Macaca mulatta: one gene and its partners. The main gene of each other region encodes a partner of the protein of the gene in region 4 in a complex. Links are inferred from orthologs where the notes say so. Each region holds a gene or a part of one and is shown on either strand. Other genes may lie near its edges. The genes, in order: STK25, STK24, STK26 and STRIP1.

What was found.
Region 1: STRIP1 (region 4) and STK25 share a complex: the UniProt entries of both Homo sapiens proteins name them as parts of the core of STRIPAK complex. The link is inferred for Macaca mulatta from reciprocal best matches to the Homo sapiens genes STRIP1 and STK25.
Region 2: STRIP1 (region 4) and STK24 share a complex: the UniProt entries of both Homo sapiens proteins name them as parts of the core of STRIPAK complex. The link is inferred for Macaca mulatta from reciprocal best matches to the Homo sapiens genes STRIP1 and STK24.
Region 3: STRIP1 (region 4) and STK26 share a complex: the UniProt entries of both Homo sapiens proteins name them as parts of the core of STRIPAK complex. The link is inferred for Macaca mulatta from reciprocal best matches to the Homo sapiens genes STRIP1 and STK26.

The regions. Positions count from the first base shown.
Region 1 is NC_133417.1:146,799,637-146,805,902, forward strand, and holds the start of STK25 (serine/threonine-protein kinase 25), read right to left. Parts: upstream 3,905-6,266; intron 3,849-3,904; coding exon of another isoform or gene 3,516-3,848; coding exon 3,486-3,515; exon of another isoform or gene 3,136-3,485; intron 1-3,135. Other genes in the region: uncharacterized protein LOC106992798, read left to right, coding at 3,514-3,848, 3,905-4,571. UniProt on the Homo sapiens protein: Oxidant stress-activated serine/threonine kinase that may play a role in the response to environmental stress.
Region 2 is NC_133422.1:93,156,777-93,162,247, reverse strand, and holds part of STK24 (serine/threonine-protein kinase 24), read left to right. Parts: intron 1-2,544; coding exon 2,545-2,681; intron 2,682-5,471. UniProt on the Homo sapiens protein: Serine/threonine-protein kinase that acts on both serine and threonine residues and promotes apoptosis in response to stress stimuli and caspase activation.
Region 3 is NC_133426.1:138,541,130-138,546,600, forward strand, and holds the end of STK26 (serine/threonine-protein kinase 26), read left to right. Parts: intron 1-460; coding exon 461-554; intron 555-1,328; coding exon 1,329-1,391; intron 1,392-1,472; coding exon 1,473-1,609; intron 1,610-2,644; coding exon 2,645-2,669; 3' UTR 2,670-4,465; downstream 4,466-5,471. UniProt on the Homo sapiens protein: Serine/threonine-protein kinase that acts as a mediator of cell growth. Modulates apoptosis. In association with STK24 negatively regulates Golgi reorientation in polarized cell migration upon RHO activation.
Region 4 is NC_133406.1:130,140,746-130,144,868, forward strand, and holds the end of STRIP1 (striatin-interacting protein 1), read right to left. Parts: coding exon 3,983-4,123; intron 2,218-3,982; coding exon 1,970-2,217; 3' UTR 1,233-1,969; downstream 1-1,232. UniProt on the Homo sapiens protein: Plays a role in the regulation of cell morphology and cytoskeletal organization. Required in the cortical actin filament dynamics and cell shape. Part of the striatin-interacting phosphatase and kinase (STRIPAK) complexes.

The DNA of each region.
Region 1 (6,266 bases), on a different chromosome or scaffold from region 4:
AGGGGCTGCCCACAGGTCCACGGACACCACGGCAACCATCTCAGGAGAAAACCACAGCCCCTCAGGTTTTCTGCCACTATATGAAGTCAAGTCTCTCATCATCCAGGCTGGGACGAAGGACCCCTAAAAGGACAAAAGGTGCTTCCTACCTTTGGAGTCCCTTCCCCAGTGCGCACACTCCCTTCCCCAGTGCGCCCACTCCCTTCCCCAGTGCGCCCACACTCCCTTCCCCAGTGCGCCTACTCCCTTCCCCAGTGCACCCACACTCCCTCCCCAGTGCACCCACACTCCCTTCCCCAGTGCGCCCACACTCCCTTCCCCAGTGCACCCACACTCCCTTCCCCAGTGCCCACACTCCCCCCCCAGTGCGCCCACACTCCCTTCCCCAGTGTGCCTACTCCCTTAGTGCGCCCACACTCCCTTCCCCAGTGCGCCCACACTCCCTTCCCCAGTGTGCCTACTCCCTTCCCCAGTGCCCACACTCCCTTCCCAGTGCGCCCACTCCCTTCCCCAGTGCGCGCCCACTCCCTTCCCCAGTGCGCCCACACTCCCTTCCCCAGTGCGCCCACTCCCTTCCCCAGTGCGCCCACACTCCCTTCCCCAGTGCGCCTACTCCCTTCCCCAGTGCCCACACTCCCTCCCCAGTACGTCTACTCCCTTCCCCAGTGCCCACACTCCCTTCCCCAGTGCGCCCACACTCCCTTCCCCAGTGCGCCCACACTCCCTTCCCCAGTGCGCCCACACTCCCTCCCCAGTGCCCACACTCCCTCCCCAGTGCGCCCACACTCCCTCCCCAGTGCGCCCACACTCCCTTCCCCAGTGCGCCCACTCCCTTCCCAGTGCGCCCACTCCCTTCCCCAGTGCGCCCACACTCCCTTCCCCAGTGCGCCTACTCCCTTCCCCAGTGCCCACACTCCCTCCCCAGTACGTCTACTCCCTTCCCCAGTGTGCCCACACTCCCTTCCCCAGTGCACCCACACTCCCTTCCCCAGTGCACCCACACTCCCTCCCCAGTGCGCCCACTCCCTTCCCCAGTGCACCCACACTCCCTCCCCAGTGCGCCCACACTCCCTTCCCCAGTGCGCCCACTCCCTTCCCCAGTGCACCCACACTCCCTCCCCAGTGCACCCACACTCCCTTCCCCAGTGCGCCTACTCCCTTCCCCAGTGCACCCACACTCCCTTCCCCAGTGCCCACACTCCCCCCCCAGTGCGCCCACTCCCTTCCCCAGTGCGCCCACTCCCTTCCCCAGTGCACCCACACTCCCTCCCCAGTGCGCCCACACTCCCTTCCCCAGTGTGCCTACTCCCTTCCCCAGTGCGCCCACACTCCCTCCCCAGTGCGCCCACTCCCTTCCCCAGTGCGCCCACACTCCCTTCCCCAGTGCCCACACTCCCTCCCCAGTACGTCTACTCCCTTCCCCAGTGCCCACACTCCCTTCCCCAGTGCGCCCACACTCCCTCCCCAGTGCCCACACTCCCTCCCCAGTGCACCCACACTCCCTCCCCAGTGCGCCCACACTCCCTTCCCCAGTGCGCCCACTCCCTTCCCAGTGCGCCCACTCCCTTCCCCAGTGCGCCCACACTCCCTTCCCCAGTGCGCCTACTCCCTTCCCCAGTGCCCACACTCCCTCCCCAGTACGTCTACTCCCTTCCCCAGTGCCCACACTCCCTTCCCCAGTGCGCCCACACTCCCTCCCCAGTGCGCCCACTCCCTTCCCCAGTGCACCCACACTCCCTCCCCAGTGCGCCCACACTCCCTCCCCAGTGCACCCACTCCCTTCCCCAGTGCACCCACTCCCTTCCCCAGTGCGCCCACTCCCTTCCCCAGTGCGCGCCCACTCCCTTCCCTGGGTCTGATCGCACCAAGAACCAACAGCACACAGTCACAGGGCACCTCAGAGCTCCAATTTCTCATCCCGTGACCCAAAGGAGCTATTTCTGCAGTTCTTAAAAATAAACTGGTGGCCGGGCACGGTGGCTCACGCCTGTAATCCCAGCACTTTGGGAGGCCACGGCAAGCAGATCACCTGAGGTCAGGAGTTTGAGACCAGCTTGACCAACATGGTGAAACTCCGTCTCTACTAAAAATACAAAATTAGCTGGGCGTGATGGCACACGCCTGTAATCCCAGCTACTCGTGAGGCCAAGACAGGAGAATGGCTTGTACCTGGGAGGCAGAGGTTGCAGTGAGCTGAGATTGCGCCATTGCACTCCAGCCTGGGCAACAAAAGTGAAACTCTGTCTCAAAAAAATAAAAAATAAAAATAAAATAAACTGGTGACAGATTTTTCTCCCAGCACCTTAGTCATGTAAGTTACCAGATACAGAAAGTCAAAAATCTGTTAGCTTAATTCAGCATCAGTCAGCAAGCCCCAGTCCCATCTGTGACCGCGCAGGTCCAGGCTGCCTGGCCCAAGAGCTGCACACGGTATTCCGGGTCTCTAGGCTGGTCCAGTTTCCTCCAAAGCAGCCCTGACTCCAGTTCCTGCCCCTATGCGGACAGACGCCCTTCCTGTTCCACTGCACACCCAGCTCTCAGGAATTCAGCACAGAGGAGTGAACAAGGAGGGCCACACATTTTAGCGGCGATTCCAACACCTTAGGCAGAGCCAAGGCATCAAGGAGAGCAAAACCGAACGCTAAGACGTAAAAAAACCCAGCAGCCAGAGTCAAAAAAATGGGGAGAGGTACACAGTGCAAGTCTCCAGGTCCCAGGCTGGCTGTCCCCACCCTCCTTCCCTGGCATGCCCTGTGGCAGCAGCAGCTGGTCCTCATTCCAGACTAAGGGCTCGCTGTAGTGGCTCCTTCCGAGGCTGTCCCACCAGACGCTTCAAAGTGGCTCCATAGTGGAACCGACTTCTTCAAAGAGGAATGACGAGCCTCCTGTTCGGGCAACCGCCCGTAGCAGGGGTTAAACGGTTCTGAACAGAGCAGCCTTTTCACCTTCCCCTGGGCCAAAGCACACACGCGTTCTCCGCTTTCCCTGCACACCGGCCGCTCAGATCGGCTTCTCCACGTTCCCAGCCCCTCAGCGCCCATCAGGGTCTCCTCTACGGCCCCCGCCCAGCCCAACACGGCCAGAACGGCCGGAACGACCCGTGGCCCGGGCTCAGGCCGCAGTGTGGCCCCTGACCTTCCACTGCCTTCAGATGCCGACACGAGGTTCCCGCCCCGCGCTGGGGGCAGCGTCCTGTCCCGGAGCCGGTGTCTCTTCACGCACCTCCGCCGCCCTCGCACAGGCGGAGCCACCCGGGGCTCGGTGTCAAGAGGTCTGCGAGCTCCTACCACGCAAAACGCCACAAGCACACGGCAGAGCCCGGGGGCCGCCCTGCGCCCACCTCAGGACGGCTCCGCTGGTCGCACGACGCGCGCTCCTTCCCTCACCCACCGCCCGCTCCGGCGAGGCGCCCCTCGGAGCCCCCGGGAAGCTCTGGCGCCCCTCGCTGAGAGGCCGCTAGTCTTCCTGAACTGCACCCTCCTCACCTGGTTGGCAAATCCCCGGAGGTGAGCCATGGCCGGGCCGCCTCAGACCCTCCGCCGACAGCCCCGAGAGGCGTCTGGATCCCGCGGAGAGGCGTGGAGCCGGCTCGCTCGCCCCTGCGGCGTCAGTCCACTGCGAGGGACAGCAGGAGCGGTCGGCGCCCAGTTCAGTCATCTGAGACCTAGCTCCGGGGCGGCGGGCTGGAGGGGGGCCCCAGGAGACCCCCAGGCCATCGGGGCCCCGCCACGCCCGGGCCTACAGCCCAGGCTCCCGGGGACTCGCCGCCCCTCCCGTCCCCGCCCCCACCTCTTCCGAGGCAGCTTCCTCCCGGTGCCCCCGCCCCGGAGTCCCCGCCACCGAGCCCCGCCCCGGGCCCCTCCCTCCGCCCCCTCCCCAATCGCCGCTAACGCGCGCCCGGCAGCGCGCCCACCTCCGCGGGGCTCCATCCCGGCCTCCCCCGGCCCGCTCTGCAGCGCCCGCGAAGGCTCCCACCCGCAGCCTCTGTTCGCCCGGGGACCCCGGGCCTCCCAGCCCGCGAAGCAACGGCGGTGGCGGCAGCGACAGGAGAAAGCCCGGAGGAGGCGACGGCGAGGGCGGTATTCGGCGTCGCGGCCCGCGCACGGCTCTCTGGGACCCCGAGTCCCACCGCCCATTCCGGGCCCGGAAGCCTGCTGGCGTTGGACTACAAGTCCCGGCAGGCCGCGAGAGAGGGGCGGGGCTCACATGCGCGCCGCGAGGCTCTCTGGGACCCCGAGTCCCACCGCCCATTCCGGGCCCGGAAGTCTGCTGGCGTTGCACTACAAGTCCCGGCAGGCCGCGAGAGAGGGGCGGGGCTCACATGCGCGCCGCGAGGCTCTCTGGGACCCCGAGTTCGGCTCCCGAAAGGCTTGGACTGCGTCTCCCAGCAGGGCGCGCGGCGGGGCAGGCGGGGCACGTGGTCGTTGTCGCGTCGCGTCTTCCGTGCCTCGCCCTCGCTGGCCTTCTGCGTCTGCTGGCGCCTGCAGGGCGTCGTCTCCGACGTGACGGCGGCCGCGCGGCGTTTCCCTTGGGCTCTGCCCTGCGCAGCCCTGGTCCGAGCTGGCCAGTAAGGCCCCGCGCCCTCCCCGCCTCGCCCCGAGGATCCACCGCGGCCGCCCAGGCTGTTGGCCTTGTCCTCACGGCTCGGAGATAAGCCGGCGCTGGTCACACCGCGAAACCCCTGTTCGCACCGAGACCCCGCTCGGGATCATGCGCACAGGCCAGGGCGCAGCAAGCCTTGGAGAAGCTACCTGCACAGCCCATTCCTTGCGCGAGCTTCGCATCTTCTGCCTCAGTTTCCTTACCTGTAAAGGGGTGATCATAGGACATCCTTGGTCACACCTTTGTGGGACCCACCTGGGCTAGAGCGCGGTACCCGCCCAGGACAGTGACTGCTGCTGGAAACCGTCGTGGCACTGGGGTCACCTCCCCAAGGTCAGGGAGGGACTTGCAGAGCCCAAGGCTACCTGGTGCACCCCCCTGCCCCGTGGGCCGCCAGGTCATAGTGCCCCCTGTGTGCATTCCCCTGGTGCACCGCAGGGATCCCCACCTGTCCGGTGAGGAAGATTTGTCTGTCCTCCACTCTGTGTCCACCCTTACAGGCCCTCAGTTTCCATGATGGCTCAGCACAGATGACTATCCTGACCACCTCACACCCCTCCTTCCTCAAGAGGGTTCTGGCGTTTCTCTTTGCTCCCTGGTGCGTGTTTTCTCATGGTGCGTTGCCAAGTCCTTTAAGAAGCCATGTTTCCCTGTCATGCATCCAGGACAGCCCCTTGAACCCCTGGGTCCCCATCTCATCACCCCTGCTTGTTGACATACTGACTTGGTTTTGTTTGTGCTTTGACTCCCCAGGAGGAAGTGGGCTTCCTGCAAGCAGAGCTGTGCCCAGGACCATGCCAGCCCATGACAGGCATTCAGTAAGTTTGTTGAATGAATGTGTAATATATGAAGGTAATATATGTATTGAATGTGTGTAAATAGATGCCTGCTGCATCTCTGGCCTTCATGTGGTCAGTAATTGCTGCACTTTTCAGAAGTGTCTAGAAGAGGCTGGGAGCAGTGGCTCACACCTGTAATCCCAGCACTTTGGGAGGCTGAGGCAGACAGATCACTTGAGGTTAGGGGTTCGAGGCCAGCCTAGCCAATATGGTGAAACTTCATCTCTACTAAAAAAAATTAGCCGGGCATGGTAGTGCGTGCCTGCAGTCCCAGCTACATGGGAGGCTGAGGCAGGAGAATCGCTTGAACCTGGGAGTTGGAGGTTGCTGTGAGCCAAGATCGTGCCACTGCACTCCAACCTGGGAAACAGAGCAAGGCTCCATCTCAAAAAAAAAAAAAAGGTGCCTAGAAGAGTTTTCCAGCTTTTATCTGTTTGTGGCCAATTGTTAATACTTTGCTCCTGGCTGCTGTCTTGCTAAGCTGCCATTTGGACTTGAACATCACCATGTCTTTTCCTGCATTGACCTTCCAGGCCCTTCTTCCTGTTTCTCATATTTTCCATTTCTTTTTTGTTGTTGTATACTTCTGTTATTCTTCGGGATTTTTGTTTGTTTGTTTGGAGACGGAGTCTCGCTCTGTCACCCAGGCCGGAGTGCAGTGGCGTGATCTCAGCTCGCTGTAACCTCCGCCTCCCAGGTTCAAGTGATTCTCCTGCCTTAGCCTCCTGAGTAGCTGGGATTACAGGGCCCCACCACCCCTGGCTAATTTTTGTATTTTCAGTAGAGATGGGGTTTCACCATGTTGGTCATGTTGGTCAGGCTAGT
Region 2 (5,471 bases), on a different chromosome or scaffold from region 4:
CCGTGTTTTGAGAGATTTTCAAAAGTAGGCTTTATAAGAATGAAGGTTGTTCTGCATCTGGTTAGTAGCGGATTTGAAAATATGTTGGAAGTCCCCCCTTTTCTTGTTGTGCCCCTTCCTGGCTGAGGTTGCCTTTGAGGTATTCACTGTGGGCCACACACACATCTGTTTGCATGGGGATCACCCTCTTTGGGCAGCTTTCCACTGCGGCTGTGTTTGGGGGCCCTGGTCCTTGAAGGGGGAGGCCTTCGGAGGAGGAAGCATCGTAGGAGCTCATTCCCCTCTCCTGTGCCTGCGTCATGCAGTGGGGAATCCCTGGCCGTGGGCTGTGCCCAGCCTGCCAGTGCCTCTTCCCAGCCCTCCAGTGAGCCTGCACCTGTTGCCCTGCCCTGGAGGGTTTGTCTGAGGGCCTCTGACCTGGCAAGTTTCAGGGCCCAGTGCGAGCAGGGCTGTGGCCGGGGCCCGAGGCCTCACCTGCAGCTTCAAGTGGGAAACAGCCGAGCCCGCTGATGTCGGGGAAGGCACAGGGCACGCGGAGGCCCTGCTGGATGTCTGGCTTCAGCCCTGGCTCATGGTTCTGGGCACCTGTGTTCTTCCTACCTAGGATGTCCAGGTTGAGTGCCTGCTTGCTCTTCATTTTGTCCCATGGGAGTGGGCCCCGTGGGATTTCCAGGCTGCGCTCCTGCGGCTCTGCCGTTGGCCTCTGGAATCGGGTCAGTCAGGCAGTTAGGGAAAGTGCATGGAGTTTTTCATTTACCTGAGGCTGTTTATTTTTTTACTGGGCTCATGAAGGAACTTTGACATAAGTATTCAGGACATATCCTAAATGCGATCGTATCCTGGATTTTCCAGCTAACCAAATGCTAAACTCGCATCTTTCCCAATGTATTTTTATGAATGATATTTGCTACCCTAGAGTTCAGAGTGTTTAATGTGCATTATTTCATACAATAGTTGCAGAAGCTCAATAGAAGGATTATAGCCCCATGTTTACAGATGAGGCCATTGAGGAGACGGGCGTTGGCGTCCCTGCTTTCCTTCAGGGAGCACAGGTCAGGTTGCTCCGTGAAGTCAGTGGTGGGTCCAGTACGTTCCACACAGTGAGGGGACTGGCCCTCTCCCAGGGCAGCCCTTCTTCTGCCTTTGCTCCTTCTTTGAGACTTAGAGGCGGGACACAGGCAGGAGGGAGAGTGCTGGATGGTACATGATCCTGTTAGGACTTGTAAATACTGTGGGGGAGTCCTAGACAAACACAAGTGGCCATCTCGGGGCCGGCGGGGTGGGCCCTCTTGGACAGCAAGAGCTTCAGGAACAAATGCTCTCCGCACCCATTGGCCCTCTGAGGTCAGACTTTCCTGTTCCTGCCTGCCCCTTCAGCAGCGGAGAGAGAAGCTGTGGCTCTCAGGGCAGGGCTGGGTTTGGAAATGACAGCATGTGTTCAACAACCTGCAAACCAAGCTGAATGTCGCCTGAGATGTTTCTTACTTCCCTGAAAAGGAGGCGGTGTCCATCATCTCTGGAGCCACCACGAAGGGCCTCTTCTGTCGAGTTCTGAGCCATGCTGTATCTTGATTGAACAGCTCTTACTTTCACAGTTCACATTTCTGGGCCTTCCAGAGAGAGACTTAGTTGACCTTTAACTTAGGGAAGTGCCTGAAGGTACTGTTGTGATTTCTCTTGGGAGTAGAGGAAGGACACTGGAGATTCCCAGAATTTAAGGCTGCCACTTACATGAAATGGAATGTTTTGACACTACTGTGGATCACAAAGGCAGTTTGCTGGAGTTTAAGAACCAACCCATTAACATGAGGAAGTAAGCTTTGACGGCCCACGTGGCAGTTTCATATTGAGATTAGATTAACTTACGATAGCCTTTGAAATTGCTTTTCTGGTACAAGGTTATGGTTGAAATGGGAAAAGAGCACAGAGAGTACAGTCCATCATGGTGAGACTCGGGAGAGGCACACAGAGAGCTAGTCGTCTCTGTTCTGGCCTAGAACAGTCACGGTTATGGTCTGACGATTACCCTGTCTATACATAACTGCTCTCAGAGCATTTGAATCACCTTTCTTCAGAAGGAATCTGGGCTGGGCGCAGTGGCTCATGCCTGTAATCCCAACACTTTGAGGCCAAGGCGGGCGAATCACTTGAGGTCAGGGGTTCGAGACCAGCCTGGCCAACATGGTAAAACCCTGCCTTATTAAAAATACAAAAATTAGCTGGACGTGGTGGCAGGGGCCTGTAATCCCAGCTACTCGGGAGGCTGAGGCAGGAGAATTGCTTGAACCCAGGGGGCGGAGGTTGCTGTGAGTTGAGATCGCGCCACTGTACTCCAGGGTGGGCAACAAAGCCAGACCCCATCTCAAAAAACAAAAAAAACCCAGGGATCTGAAGTGGTCTGGATCCCGAGTCAGAGCCTTTCCCGGACACCCCGGGGCTGGGGTGGTGTCATGGTCCACGCACTGTGTTGCTCCTTGAAAAGCATGCTTCCCGGTTCTGCAGCTGGTGCACCTCACACTGTTCTTCCTGTTCGTGTGTTTTCAGTTGAAGGAGAAGAGCCAGGCATGCGGCGGGAACTTGGGGTCCATTGAAGAGCTGCGAGGGGCCATCTTCCTAGCGGAGGAGGCGTGCCCCGGCATTTCCGACACCATGGTGGCCCAGCTCGTGCAGCGGCTCCAGAGGTAACTGCCTGGGGCCCCCCTGGGCTGGGGAAGGAGAGGCCTGCACTTGGCCTGGGACTCGGTTGGTGAGTTTGGTACTTCGCTCTTGGCCTGTCTGTTCCTGTTGTCTTGCAGGCCTCAGGGTACACACAGAGTTGAATTAGAGGAGACTTTGTTGAATTCTAGAAATCAATGTGAGTGAAGGATCTGAATCTGGAAACTGCTGGAAAAGCCCGCAGGACTTTGTGCGTTTGTAGCTCTTGCCACACAAATACAGGGTGGTGGTGAAATAATCTGTTTCCTCTTAATTATGCAGCTTAATTATTGGCCAGAGAATGATCGTTCTTAGCCAGATGTGTGTAACTGTCTCTCTGGTTTTTGGCTTTAAAGTCAATGTGAGAAATGCCAGCAGCTTTGGTGTGGTCACCTCGGCGGGAGCAGGTGCACGTGTGTTCGCTGTCTTAGCTGTGTGTGTCTTGTCTGCAAGCCTCCTTGGTAGGGGCTCATCTGTGCCAGCCTGTAGGGAGCTTTTGTCCCTGCCCAGTGGCCCCACCTGTTACACACACTGTGGGTGAGGACTCGGTGGGGTGACGGCTTCGCCCTCCCTGCCCCCTCCCAGCTTGTTGTAGGAGTAACCATGGAAACCAAGCCCCTCCTACCTGCCATGGGCACAGGCGCAGGTGTTTGGAGGCAGTGGATGTGTGCTGGGCAGCTGCTCTGTGTGACCCAAGGGTGATTTGTCACTGGGCTGTCCTCCCCCACCCCGGGAGGACCAGGCGTGCTGCTGCCTTGACATTCATCTTCAGGTGTCCAGGCTGATGCCCCTACCAAAGCTGGCTGAGCCTCTGTGATGATGACGGGGATTTCCAGGTCTTCCCTGAGATGTGTCCCACCTGACAGTACATAAAGAAGTTGTGCGCGTGTGAGGTCCCTTTTGCTATCTGGGAGTGATTGAAGGGGCTGCCTACTGTCCTGTGAAGAGCCCCTCTAAGTGGGGGTGGCGGGAGAAAACCACAGCTCTGATACTTCCGGTTTATGCTTCTGAACTCGGGTTTCTTAGTATGCCATTTCAACTTTTTAAGTTGCTAGAAAATAAAAATGATTTATTGGCTGCCTTTAATTTTGAGGCAATTGAAGGATGATCCCTCCCTCCTTTGATACCCAAAACAGTATAGGAATACAGGAAAATAGAATGAAAAAGTCATCCATCTTTTGCCTGAACACAAATTTTTTGATTTCTCAAACTTAGTATCACATACCTCATGCTAGTGACATTATTTCTCATTAGAAAGAGCCTTATAATAAAGCAAATAGAACAAAACCAGAAACTCGCAGGATTGTTACTGTCTTGTTCGGCGTTTTGTTTTCTGCTTTTGTAGTATTACTTTTAGAACCAATACTTTCCACATTGTTCAGAATTGCCTGAAATTGTTATGAACTGTTTGTTTGTATACATGACTTGATTTCCCCAGGAGCTCCAGGGCAGAGCACCTGGCTTGTATGTGTTGAACTGATCCATGTTTCCCATTTCCAGACCCCTGTCTCCCTGTTCCTCTTCTTTCAGTTGTTAAGGCAAGTTGATCTGTACTAGTGCTGGCCAGTAGAAGTACAATGGGGGCCACATGCAGAATTTTACGTTTTCTGCTGGATGTGGTGGCTCACGCCTGTAATCCCAATGCTTTGGGAGGCCCAGGCAGGAGGATCGCTTGAGGCCAAGTGTTTGAGACCAGCCTGGGCAAAATAGCAAGACCCTGTCTCTACCAAAAAAAAAAAAAAAAAAATTTAGCCAGGCATGGTGACTTGTACCTGTGGTCCTAGCTACTTGGGAGGCTGAGGCTGTAGAATTTCTCAGGCCGAGGAGTTCGAGGCTACGGCTATGATCACCTCTGCACTCCAGGCTGGGCAACACAGTGAGACCCTGACTCTAAAAACCCAACAAAAAGAGAATTTTACATTTTCTCATAGCCATATTTTTAAAAAGCAAAATGAAGTGAAATTACTTTTAACAATACATTTTTAACCTGCCAGATCCAAAGTATTATTTCAACATTAATACCAACAATCATCAATAAGATATTTTACATTTTTGGGGGGACCGTCTTTGGAATTGATGTGTCCTTTACACTCAGCACATCTCCATTCACAGGCAGCACATTGCACGTGCTCACTGGGCATCGTGGCTGGGGATGACCCTCTTTAACCTCATGTGGGTCTGTAGCTACCTGATGTCTGTGTTGTGTTTAAAACTTTACTTTGCAGTGACACACAGGGGAGGCCGAGTCGGCGCTCTCTTGCCTTTGTCTGTGATGAGTGCCCCTCTTTCCTCCTCTGTCCTCAGACGACCTGCCTATTGGGGTGCTTATCGTCTCCCTGCAGGCTTGGCTGTGGCCCCCACTTCTCCCTTCCCTGCTCCTGAAGCTCCCACTGAGTGTTCACCTCTGCTGGCTGCCAAAACCACGGGGCCATGGCTTAGACTTCCTGCCAGTTTTGCTCCGAACACGTTATTTCAGTGGATGACTGTAGGAAAAATGAGAGCTGCCTCTCGTCTGAAGCATTTTCAGAGCTTACTATGTCATCATGTATGGGTCCATTTTTTAGAATTTCTATGGTACTTATTTCTGTCTCAGCTGGAATTAATGTTTGGATTCTTTTGTGTGACATCAACTCATCCTGTGATTTAGTCATTTGTACTTCTTTATAATTGAGTCTTAGGCTCCGTGGCTAACACGTGCTTTTGGGAGGACCTTATGTAACCATTCGTTCTCTGGGAGGGTGCCAAGTATTTCAGATGCCTTAAAAGAGGAGCTCTAG
Region 3 (5,471 bases), on a different chromosome or scaffold from region 4:
CAACTCGTCATTTACATCAGGTATAACTCCCAGTGCAATCCCTCCCCCCTCCCCCCTCCCCCCTCCCCATGATAGGCCCCGGTGTGTGATGTTCCCCTTCCCGAGTCCAAGAAGGATGAGTTTGTGTCCTTTGTAGGGACATGGATGCACATGGAACCTTAAAGCAATCACAAGCCACACCACTGGAGATCCTGATTCAATAGGTGGGGAGCAGTGAGGGACAGGTATTTACATTTGGTAGGAGGTCTCAATGAAGCACACATCGAGCTGAGAACCACTCCACTACCACTCTGTAGTAAAATGTAGTATTCACCTGAAGCTGAGATCAGATCTTTTTTGTACCAGGAGTTTTTAAACATTGGGACAATTATTCCTTTAGATTCTACATACATCGATTTGATATTTTTGCCAAGCTGAATCATTTGGTCACTTATAGAGGTATCTTTGGCAATCTCTTTAGGGAATCTACCAGCAGGGAAAACAATACTCATCCTGAATGGAGCTTTACCACCGTACGAAAGAAGCCTGATCCAAAGAAAGTACAGAATGGGGCAGTATGTATATGGAGACAATTACTTACTCTTCATACAGTTTTTCAAACTATGTAGTGAGATTATAATGGCCCAAAATTGTTAGGATTGAATACCCCAAATGCCTGTCTGCCTCACTGTGTTTGTAGTATGCTTCATTTGTCATTAGTTTTGAGCTAATTAAAAAAGTTAATAGAAGTTATTTAAGTGGCCATATTGGAATTTTTTTTTTTTTTTTTTTTTTTTTTTTTTTTTGAGACGGAGTCTCGCTATGTCGCCCAGGCTGGAGTGCAGTGGCCAGATCTTGGCTCACTGTAAGCTCCGCCTCCCGGGTTTACACCATTCTCCTGCCTCAGCCTCCCGAGTAGCTGGGACTACAGGCGCCTGCCACCTCGCCTGGCTAGTTTTTTGTATTTTTTAGTAGAGACGGGGTTTCGCCATGTTAGCCAGGATGGTCTCGATCTCCTGACCTCGTGATCCGCCCGTCTCGGCCTCCCAAAGTGCTGGGATTACAGGCTTGAGCCACTGTGCCCGGCCCATATTGGTATTTTTTAAGTGCATTTCACCTAGAGATACATAAGCCCAGGGAATCATAGGTGTCTATTGTAATCCTAGAAGTTAGAGGACTTCTGGATGATGAATGGGAATGAATGACAGGAAGAAAGCTTAGAGACTTGCCTTGCATACAATATTTTGTTTTCAGTGGGGCATTCAAATTAGTTCGTATTTGTTAAAGAATAAGAAAATCATAACAATTATTTTAATTTCATGTATATAATCTGTATCATTTGTTCAAAGGAGCAAGATCTTGTGCAAACCCTGAGCTGTTTGTCTATGATAATCACACCTGCATTTGCTGAAGTAAGTACAGATTAATTGGCCTTGGATATCTGTTTGAAGTAGTATAATATTTTAAGTGTTTTAATTATTACTCTTTCTCAGCTTAAACAGCAGGACGAGAATAATGCTAGCAGGAATCAGGCAATTGAAGAACTCGAGAAAAGTATTGCTGTGGCTGAAGCCGCCTGTCCCGGCATCACAGATAAAATGGTGAAGAAGCTAATTGAAAAATTTCAAAAGTAAGTTGGAAATGTCATTTTAAAAATTATTTTGCATTTTCTGTTGTATGTTAATTTATGATGCAATGTAATTTCGTTGATTCAACCATTCCAATTATTCCTAACAAAGTCACCTTTTAATACATAGTTGTATACTTAAAAATAGTTTTTGTTTGTTGTGTATCTTAAACATTAGCTTTTGGAATTTTTAGGCATGACAAGGTAGTTTTCCACTGCATGAAATGGCCTGTTTTTCTTTCTCCACTAGTAGGAGTATGGACAAAAGGTCACTGAGCATATTCTCATTTGAGCTCTCATTAATATCATTGGGGAATGCTTTCTTTCTTGCCACTACCCTCAGAATTTAACAAAACACCACTAGTTGCATAATTTCCAGTGCTAAAGTTCCTACATTTGACCTCCATATGAAAAGTTAAGGAAAAGGTAGAGGGACTCAATCCAGACTGAAAAAGGGCTCTTATGTTCAATTTCAGTTTCTATGTTGTCTCTTGAAATATTCATTTGATTTTGTTCACATTCAAAAAAGTTCTTACATTTAATTTTTTTAAAAATTTTCAACAAGACTTTTGTATGCATGTACACACATATACACTCCTTAGCTCAAGCAAGCTATAAGGTGATACTAATTTTAGCCTTGACCTTGTTATATCTCTTCTCAGTGCATCTTTATATTTCTTTGTTTGTGATGCCACTGGGATTGAGTTGGAACAAACTCTGTGACCTGTGAAATCACACACTCTCAAAGATCTTTCTATCTGATAAGGCTCACTTGTACTCGTAAACCTAACCCCCTCTTAAAATCCCTTATATTTTAATGAAGACCTCCCATTTGAAAACAAATCAATTGGAAGTTGTGAAATCAGATACAGAAGGGATTTTTGAACTTGTTTATATTTTAACATCTACATGATGAGATTCCATAAAAACAATGTATCCCTTTTGTGGAATCAGTTTCTTCATTGCAGAGTTCATACAAAAGAGAAATATAAATATGCATAGTTGTACATTTGTTTACATTTTTAAAAAATTTTATAGGTGTTCAGCAAACGAATCCCCCTAAGAAACTTATTATTGGCTTCTGTTTCATATGGACCCAGAGAGCCCCACCAAAGCTACTTCAAGCTTAACAATGCTTAACCCATGAGCTCCAGGTGCCTTTTGGATCTTTGCAACACTGAAGATTTGGAAGAAGCTATTAAACTATTTTGTGATGGTGTTTATCATTTTATATTTTGAAAGGATTATTTTGTAAGGAGTAACTTTTAATACTATAGTTTCACCTGTATTCTAGTAAATGTTGAGACACCGTTTTGCTTTTAAGTATCCCTATTTCTTAAGTTAAGTTACTAAGATGAATACCTTTCACGTCTTGATCTTTAATTGACTACAGTCATGAAACGTACAGGTCTTTCAAAGTCATTCTCAGTATTCAGCTTTTGTAAAGTATCAAGCTTCAAAAAGTGTTGTTGTTGTTGTTGTTGTTTTTTAAACATGCGTATTCTAAAAATGACTATTGGTGGGGAGGTGTAAATAAGTCATACCTTCTTAAAACAGAAAATTTTAGTAAAGTCTTTTAAATGAAACCTGTAAAAGTATTGATTCTTCTACCAAGTTGGTATGATATTCCAGGCAGCTCAATGATTATCACATTTGAGATCCTGTGTTTGAAGCATTTACAGGCAATGTACAGCAACAGAGGTACCTCTTGGTGTATAGTATTTACATTCTCTTTTAGGTAGAAGAGGCAATTTTACCCTTATTTAACATGGTTAGAAATTTAAAGCAAGATCATTTACCCAAGGATAGGTGTTTGGTAATGTTGGAGGAGTTAGTCTGGCTTCATGTTTTACATCTTCAACTAAAATCCCATACTATCTGCTTGGATTTTGAGAGCCAAAAAAAAAAAAAAAAAAAAGCTGATTGTCATGTGATTAAATACCTGATCCATAGGTATGAATATAAGTTACACCAGCATATTTTTGCCATGGTAATGAATTGTCCTATAAACTATTTATATATTTTTGTTCTTCATAATTGTCACTAATAAGCATCAGTTTGTTGTTTTTAAAAGGATATTTAAGTGAGCATTTTCTAGTTCACATGAAAATAACCATAGTACAGGATGATTTCTGTCCACTCAAAGGTAAGTTAGATTGCACAGTTAATTTTCACTTATATTTATGGCACTATTATGTTGGTGATGCCTTTTTCTTTTAAGCCCAGTATTATGCCTGCCTAAGTTCTGAACTGGGGCTATATTTTAGTAGTTGTAGAATTATTGATATTTAGTTTTGATAGTTAATGTTTAATTGTTTGGATCTGCACAATTTGGTTTTTGCACAAAAGTCATTTTAAAAAAATCTGAGTAATTGCCAAATATTAGACGAAAGATATTCTTCCTGTAAGGAATACAGTTTTTAGTCAAAGTGGCCATTACATCCTCTTTTTACTTTACATGGTATAGATACTTGAGAAGGTTGTTCTGGTGTTGTATGCCAAGAAAATTCTTTTTATTGGTGCCTATATTGTAACAATTATTTTTAATGCATTGTATTTTGAAGTAATGGTTCAGTTAAATTTTTCACCCGCTGTGTAACTGAAACACAATTACAGTTTATAATCTGTAGAAGTCTGGAGATAATTTTGCAACTCATGTTATGGGTTAAATGAATATTTTTGTAAAAGTAAAAGCAGCAAATTTATAAATTGATTATTTGAAACTTTACAACACAATTGCATCCCAAATACAAATTGTATTGCTTATTCATTATAGCTATTCGTCCTGTAAACTGTTTCTAGGTGAAGCATACTCCAGTGTTTTGGGGTTTTGAAAATAAATATTTAAATTTCACAGTCCTCAATGTTTGTTTTCCTTGAGATGGGGGTGTGGTATGGGACTTCAGTGTTTCAAATTATTTCTCCTTTGTCCTTTATTGTTCAAACACTAAAATCGAAGTTTCTGTTGGAAACCAGAAGATACTCTTCACATTTCATTAAGCATTAATTATAGCTACAGTGAACATCTGTCCTAATTTCTAAGCCTCCTGTCTTGACCAAATTATTAATAACGTCCCCTTTCACTTGAAAGTGTCCTGGGTTGAACAATAAATTATATGGTCACCCTGATTATTATATTATTAAGAGATCATATACAGATATAAACTTAGTGAAGATTTTTAGAAATTGATATGAGAAATACCATTATCATAAAGGAGTTTAAGTTTTTCCTAGAGAAGAGGTTGAGGGTGAACTTAACATAGCATTAAGGATCTATGGTATTAATATGTATTAATATATTCATATATTAATTATATAATATTTTAATATTATACTATATTATTAAGCCCAGGTGATTGGGTTTCAATATATTCTTATTATTAGATAGTTACTCTTGACTTGTGAGTTACTAAATATGAGTCCGGGAGCAGACAAGAAAGTGCTAGGATGGAGGAAAGGAGTGGGATGAGGTATATTAAAAGGGATTTTTCTGATATAAAGACTAGGAGAATAAGGAAACTATTCCATTAGTTTTTTTTCTCCTTTAAGTTGTATATAAAAATAACTTGCCTATAGAATTGCCTCCTTTCTTTGAAGTTTGTAGTAACATTATCTTGTAAATATGTTGGACTTTAAAATCAAACAAAATAAACTTCTCAAATAGAATGCTATACCTTCTAGGAGGACCATTAGAGAAATTTTGAATGGGTCAAAAATGGAATTCTGGTTCATTAACTCACCCTGGTATTAGTACCATCCTTTTTTGTTTCAGCTACCCTTCAATTCTACTACTTTTCCTCTCCTTGGCCATACATTTTCACTTGCCTCCCTCCTTTTCCTTGTTGTGTAACTGTCCCTTTCCTTA
Region 4 (4,123 bases):
CCCTTCCTCTCTCTGGGCTGGCTCCTGGGCCTACAGCTGAAGGGATTCACCTGCCCAGGCTTCACGGCCCTTGCAGTTTTGATAGTCCTGCATTCTGTTTTGCAGGTCAGAGGAGAGACAGGCCTTGACCATGCAGGTTCAGTGACTCAGGCTTCATGGGACAGTACCAATGTGAAAAATCCATCTCTCCCTAATTGAAATCTCAAGATACATATTTCCTACCAGTCCTGGCAAGAAATAGCAGAAAATCCATCATCCACACATAAACTGTCAATTCCCTTGTCCTGTACAAGTTACTTTGGGGCAAAGGGCCCATCAGTCACAGATGGGACTTCCCATCTCACAGACTGTGTGACCACCAGGAGTACACTGCTGCCTTCCACCCCTGCTGTCCCTAACCATGCTGGCACATCAAAAGGCCTGTCTGAGGCTCAGCAGGTCCCAGGTCAGGCAGGCACTGAACACAAGACCCAACGAAGGGGAGATTCTCCCCAGAACATGTTTCCTTTACAAGTCAAGACCCTTCAAGACTTAAGAACCTATAAAACAACTGCGTACAGGTAAAATAAGAGCTTCCAGGAATTCTAAAAAGGGAACACTCCTTTTACCAGCATCAAAACGGTAATATCTTCTCAGGCAGACGCAACCAGGGGTCTGGAGGCCAGAGTGTAGGCGCCAGGTGTCCACTGACACCCACTTCAAAGATTTTCCTTGCTTTTTTCTCAGCCACAGGGGGCTCCTAGCTCCTGGCAACATTGTTTCCCACCATGAACCTGACTCCTGATAGTCTGCTTCCTACGCTCTGAGTACTGAAGTTTCCGCTCAGTCCCAACCACCTGCCCCAGGGAGGACCTAGAGCAGCTGACCCCCTTGCTTTGACCTAGCCCCTCCCTCTCTAGCACTGACACTGGTTTGGCTGAGGCCAGCTCAGTGATGTGATCCAGAGAAACCTGGGGCTCCTACTGAAATTACAGCAAACCCAGGGGTGCAGGACAATGTCTCAGTAAAGTAACCTTGATAGTGCCCTGGAGTTGGGTGAGAGTAATCCCAGATTACTGTGGGGTTAATTTACACTGGATAAATGCCAACTCCCTCTTCTCTTCCCCCAGGATGGGAAAGGCAGGCAGCTTGGCAAGACAAGCAGTGACCAGCAATGCTAGCAGAAAAAAACACTTTCTAGACCTGGAGGAGACATGTAGAGGCCATATTTCCCGTAGACAAGCCAACGGGAATGATTTTTGCTTATTTTTAATGTAAACAGAATACACAAACACATTAAAAACCCCAACATGACACAGGAGAATACACACAGAATTATATATAGGTATTTACAGGCCCTCCAAAGCCAAAAGGAAAAATGGCCCCTCTGGTTAAGGGAAGCTTCTCTTCCTACCTTGTCCCTGTCCAAAATCAAAGTGTGGAGGCAGCTGCAGGAGCCTCTGCAATTACTTCTGCATATAACATAGCAGGAGGCTGGAATAACAACAGAAACCCCCCACCCCCACCCCAGAGCACAACCAAGACACCGTTGTATTTTTTTTTGGCCCTGGCCCTAATCCTAAACTCTCCTCCTTTGCAAGCTGACAAAGCAAGGATTTGTGTGTCTCAGGAGGCATCAGCATGACCCCTGAAATTTAGATGTGCTGTGGAGGGGTTCCCATCCCATTCCAGCTTTCCCAGCCTTGGGCTGATTGTGAAATGAGCCAAAACCAACCATGTCCAAGAGAGGAGGGTGAGAGAAATAAAGGAAGAATGGATCCCAGGCAGAGATGACTGCTTCTGAGCTGGACCCTGGGAACCAATAGGAGGTAAAGCTGGGCTCATCCAAACCCAGGACAGACTGCAGAAGACACAGTGGGGCTGTGCTGCCACCTGGTGGGGAATGGGAGCGCTGCAGCCATGAACTAGGACAGTCCTGCAGGTACCTTGAGATCCTCCTTTCTCTGTTTCAGTCCCCTAACCAACAGCCTTACTGCAGCAGCTCTTCCCAGGAAATGGGCTTGGAGAAGACCTCCCTTTCTAACCAGAGGTCATAGTTCATCTGAAAGTCCTCAGGGAGGTCCACCCGTTGGCCCAGGACACTCTGCAGGCAGTTGTCCACTGGCAGGAAGTCGGGGTTGCTGTGGGCCCGGTCATAGCGCCGGGCGTTGAAGCGTTCAATGTTGGCACGGAGGGCACACTCCTCTGCCTGGAAGTCCCAAGGCCGGGCATCAAGATCTGAGACAAAGCAGGAAGAACACAGTTAGGAGCCACGCCCTGTAGCAGCTCCCCATGGACTCACTGCAGCTCAGGGGCCTGGCCAGGAATATTGAGTGTCAACTAGGAGCAGGATACCTCCGAGCTCTAGGAATTCCTTCCTAGATCCAAAGGAGAGTCAAGTACAAGCAGAAAAGACAGAAGTACCGACAAAGAGGCTTATACTGTAGAGATTATGTAGACCCAGAGAGGGAGAGCCATGTGTACAACACATTTCTCTCAAAGTGGCAACCTCCCTAGCTCTCTGGGGTCAGAGGGAGGAACCTGGAAATCCTCTCATTTGCTCATTCTCTCTCAACTCCCTGACCAGGTACCGTGTGCCACCGTGGGCCTGCACACATTCACAAGGCACTGAGAGTACAGACACAGTCATTTAGCCATGGTGGTATACTCCAGAAACGCAACAATGTGGCAACACACCCACACAGAGCAGCCCAGGCAGGCAGGGGAGACCCTGCGGGTGGAGGAAGAGCGTCTGCAGAGGCCTAGCAGTGGTAACCACACAGCTATGTTAGGGCACTAAGCACTCCTTGTGCCTGGAGCTCTGGGTATGATGGAGGCTGGACTGACAGCAGGTAACGAGGTTGAAAAGGAAGCTGGGTCAGATTACAGAGGAGGATAATGAAAAAGGACGAGGGAGCCTCATGCTTGAGTCTGAATCTAATTCTAAGGGAAACAGGAAGCTAATGAAGGATTTTACTCAGGGAGGTAACAGCACAGAAGCTGCATGTTGAAAAGATTCACTAGGGTGCCGGGCGCAGTGGCTCATGCCTGTAATCCCAACACTTTGGGAGGCCAAGGCAGGTGGATCCCTTGAACCCAGGAGTTCAAGAACCACCTGAGAAGGATAGGCACAGTGGCTCACGCCTGTGATCCCAGCACTTTGGGAGGCCGAGGCGGGTGGATCACTTGAGGCCAGGAACTCGAGACCAGCCTGGCTAACATGGTGAAACCCCATCTCTACAAAAAATACAAAAATTAGCTGGACATGGTGGAGTCCAGCTGTAGTCCCAGCTAGTTGGGAGGCTGAGGGGGGAGAATTGCTTAAACTTGGGGGGCGGAGGTTGCAGTGAGCTGAGACCGTGCCAGTGCAAACCAGCCTGGGTGACAGAATCTCTGTCTCAAAAAAAAAAAAAGAAACAAAAAAACACCCTAGGAAACATGGTGAAACCCTGTCTCTACAAAAAAGATACAATTAGGTGGGCACAGTGGAATGTGCCTGTGGTCCAGCTACTCGGGAGACTAAGGAGGCAGATGTTATGGTGAGCCAAGACCACACTCCAGCCTGGGCCAACACAGCCCCATCTTTGAAACAGGCCCCATCTTTGAAAAAAATTAAAGTAAAAAAGGATCACTAGGGAAATCTAAGACACTGATGGAGGGGAAGGAACTAGAGGCAGGGAAGCCAGTCAAGAGCTGTAAAAGTTTGGGTGGCCAAAATGGGGATGAAAAGAGGGGACATAGTGTTATGACAATTTCTAGAAAAGGAATGACTTGGAGGTACAGGGAGAGATGGGGATGATCGCAGATGCCAAGCCTGGGTAGCTTCTCAAAGTCCTTCCTAGAGTGCCCATCCTGATGCTACAAAAGCAGAAGCTGGGCTCCTTTCTGTTCCTTGGTGGGAAGCTCAGGGCAGAGAAGCACCTGAGCACCACGGGCAGGGAGTGGAAGATGTCACCTTGCCCGACACACTCCCACCCAAATGTGACTGAGTGCAGAGCCTCACCGTTGCCGTATGCCCAGTCGTCATTGAGCCGATGCCGCACCTTCTGGTAGATGGCAGACATGGTCTTCATGTTGCTCTTTCGCCACTGCCGCCCCAAGTATTTGGTCTGTACCTTGAGCAGCTTCAGCACGTAGAGCTGCA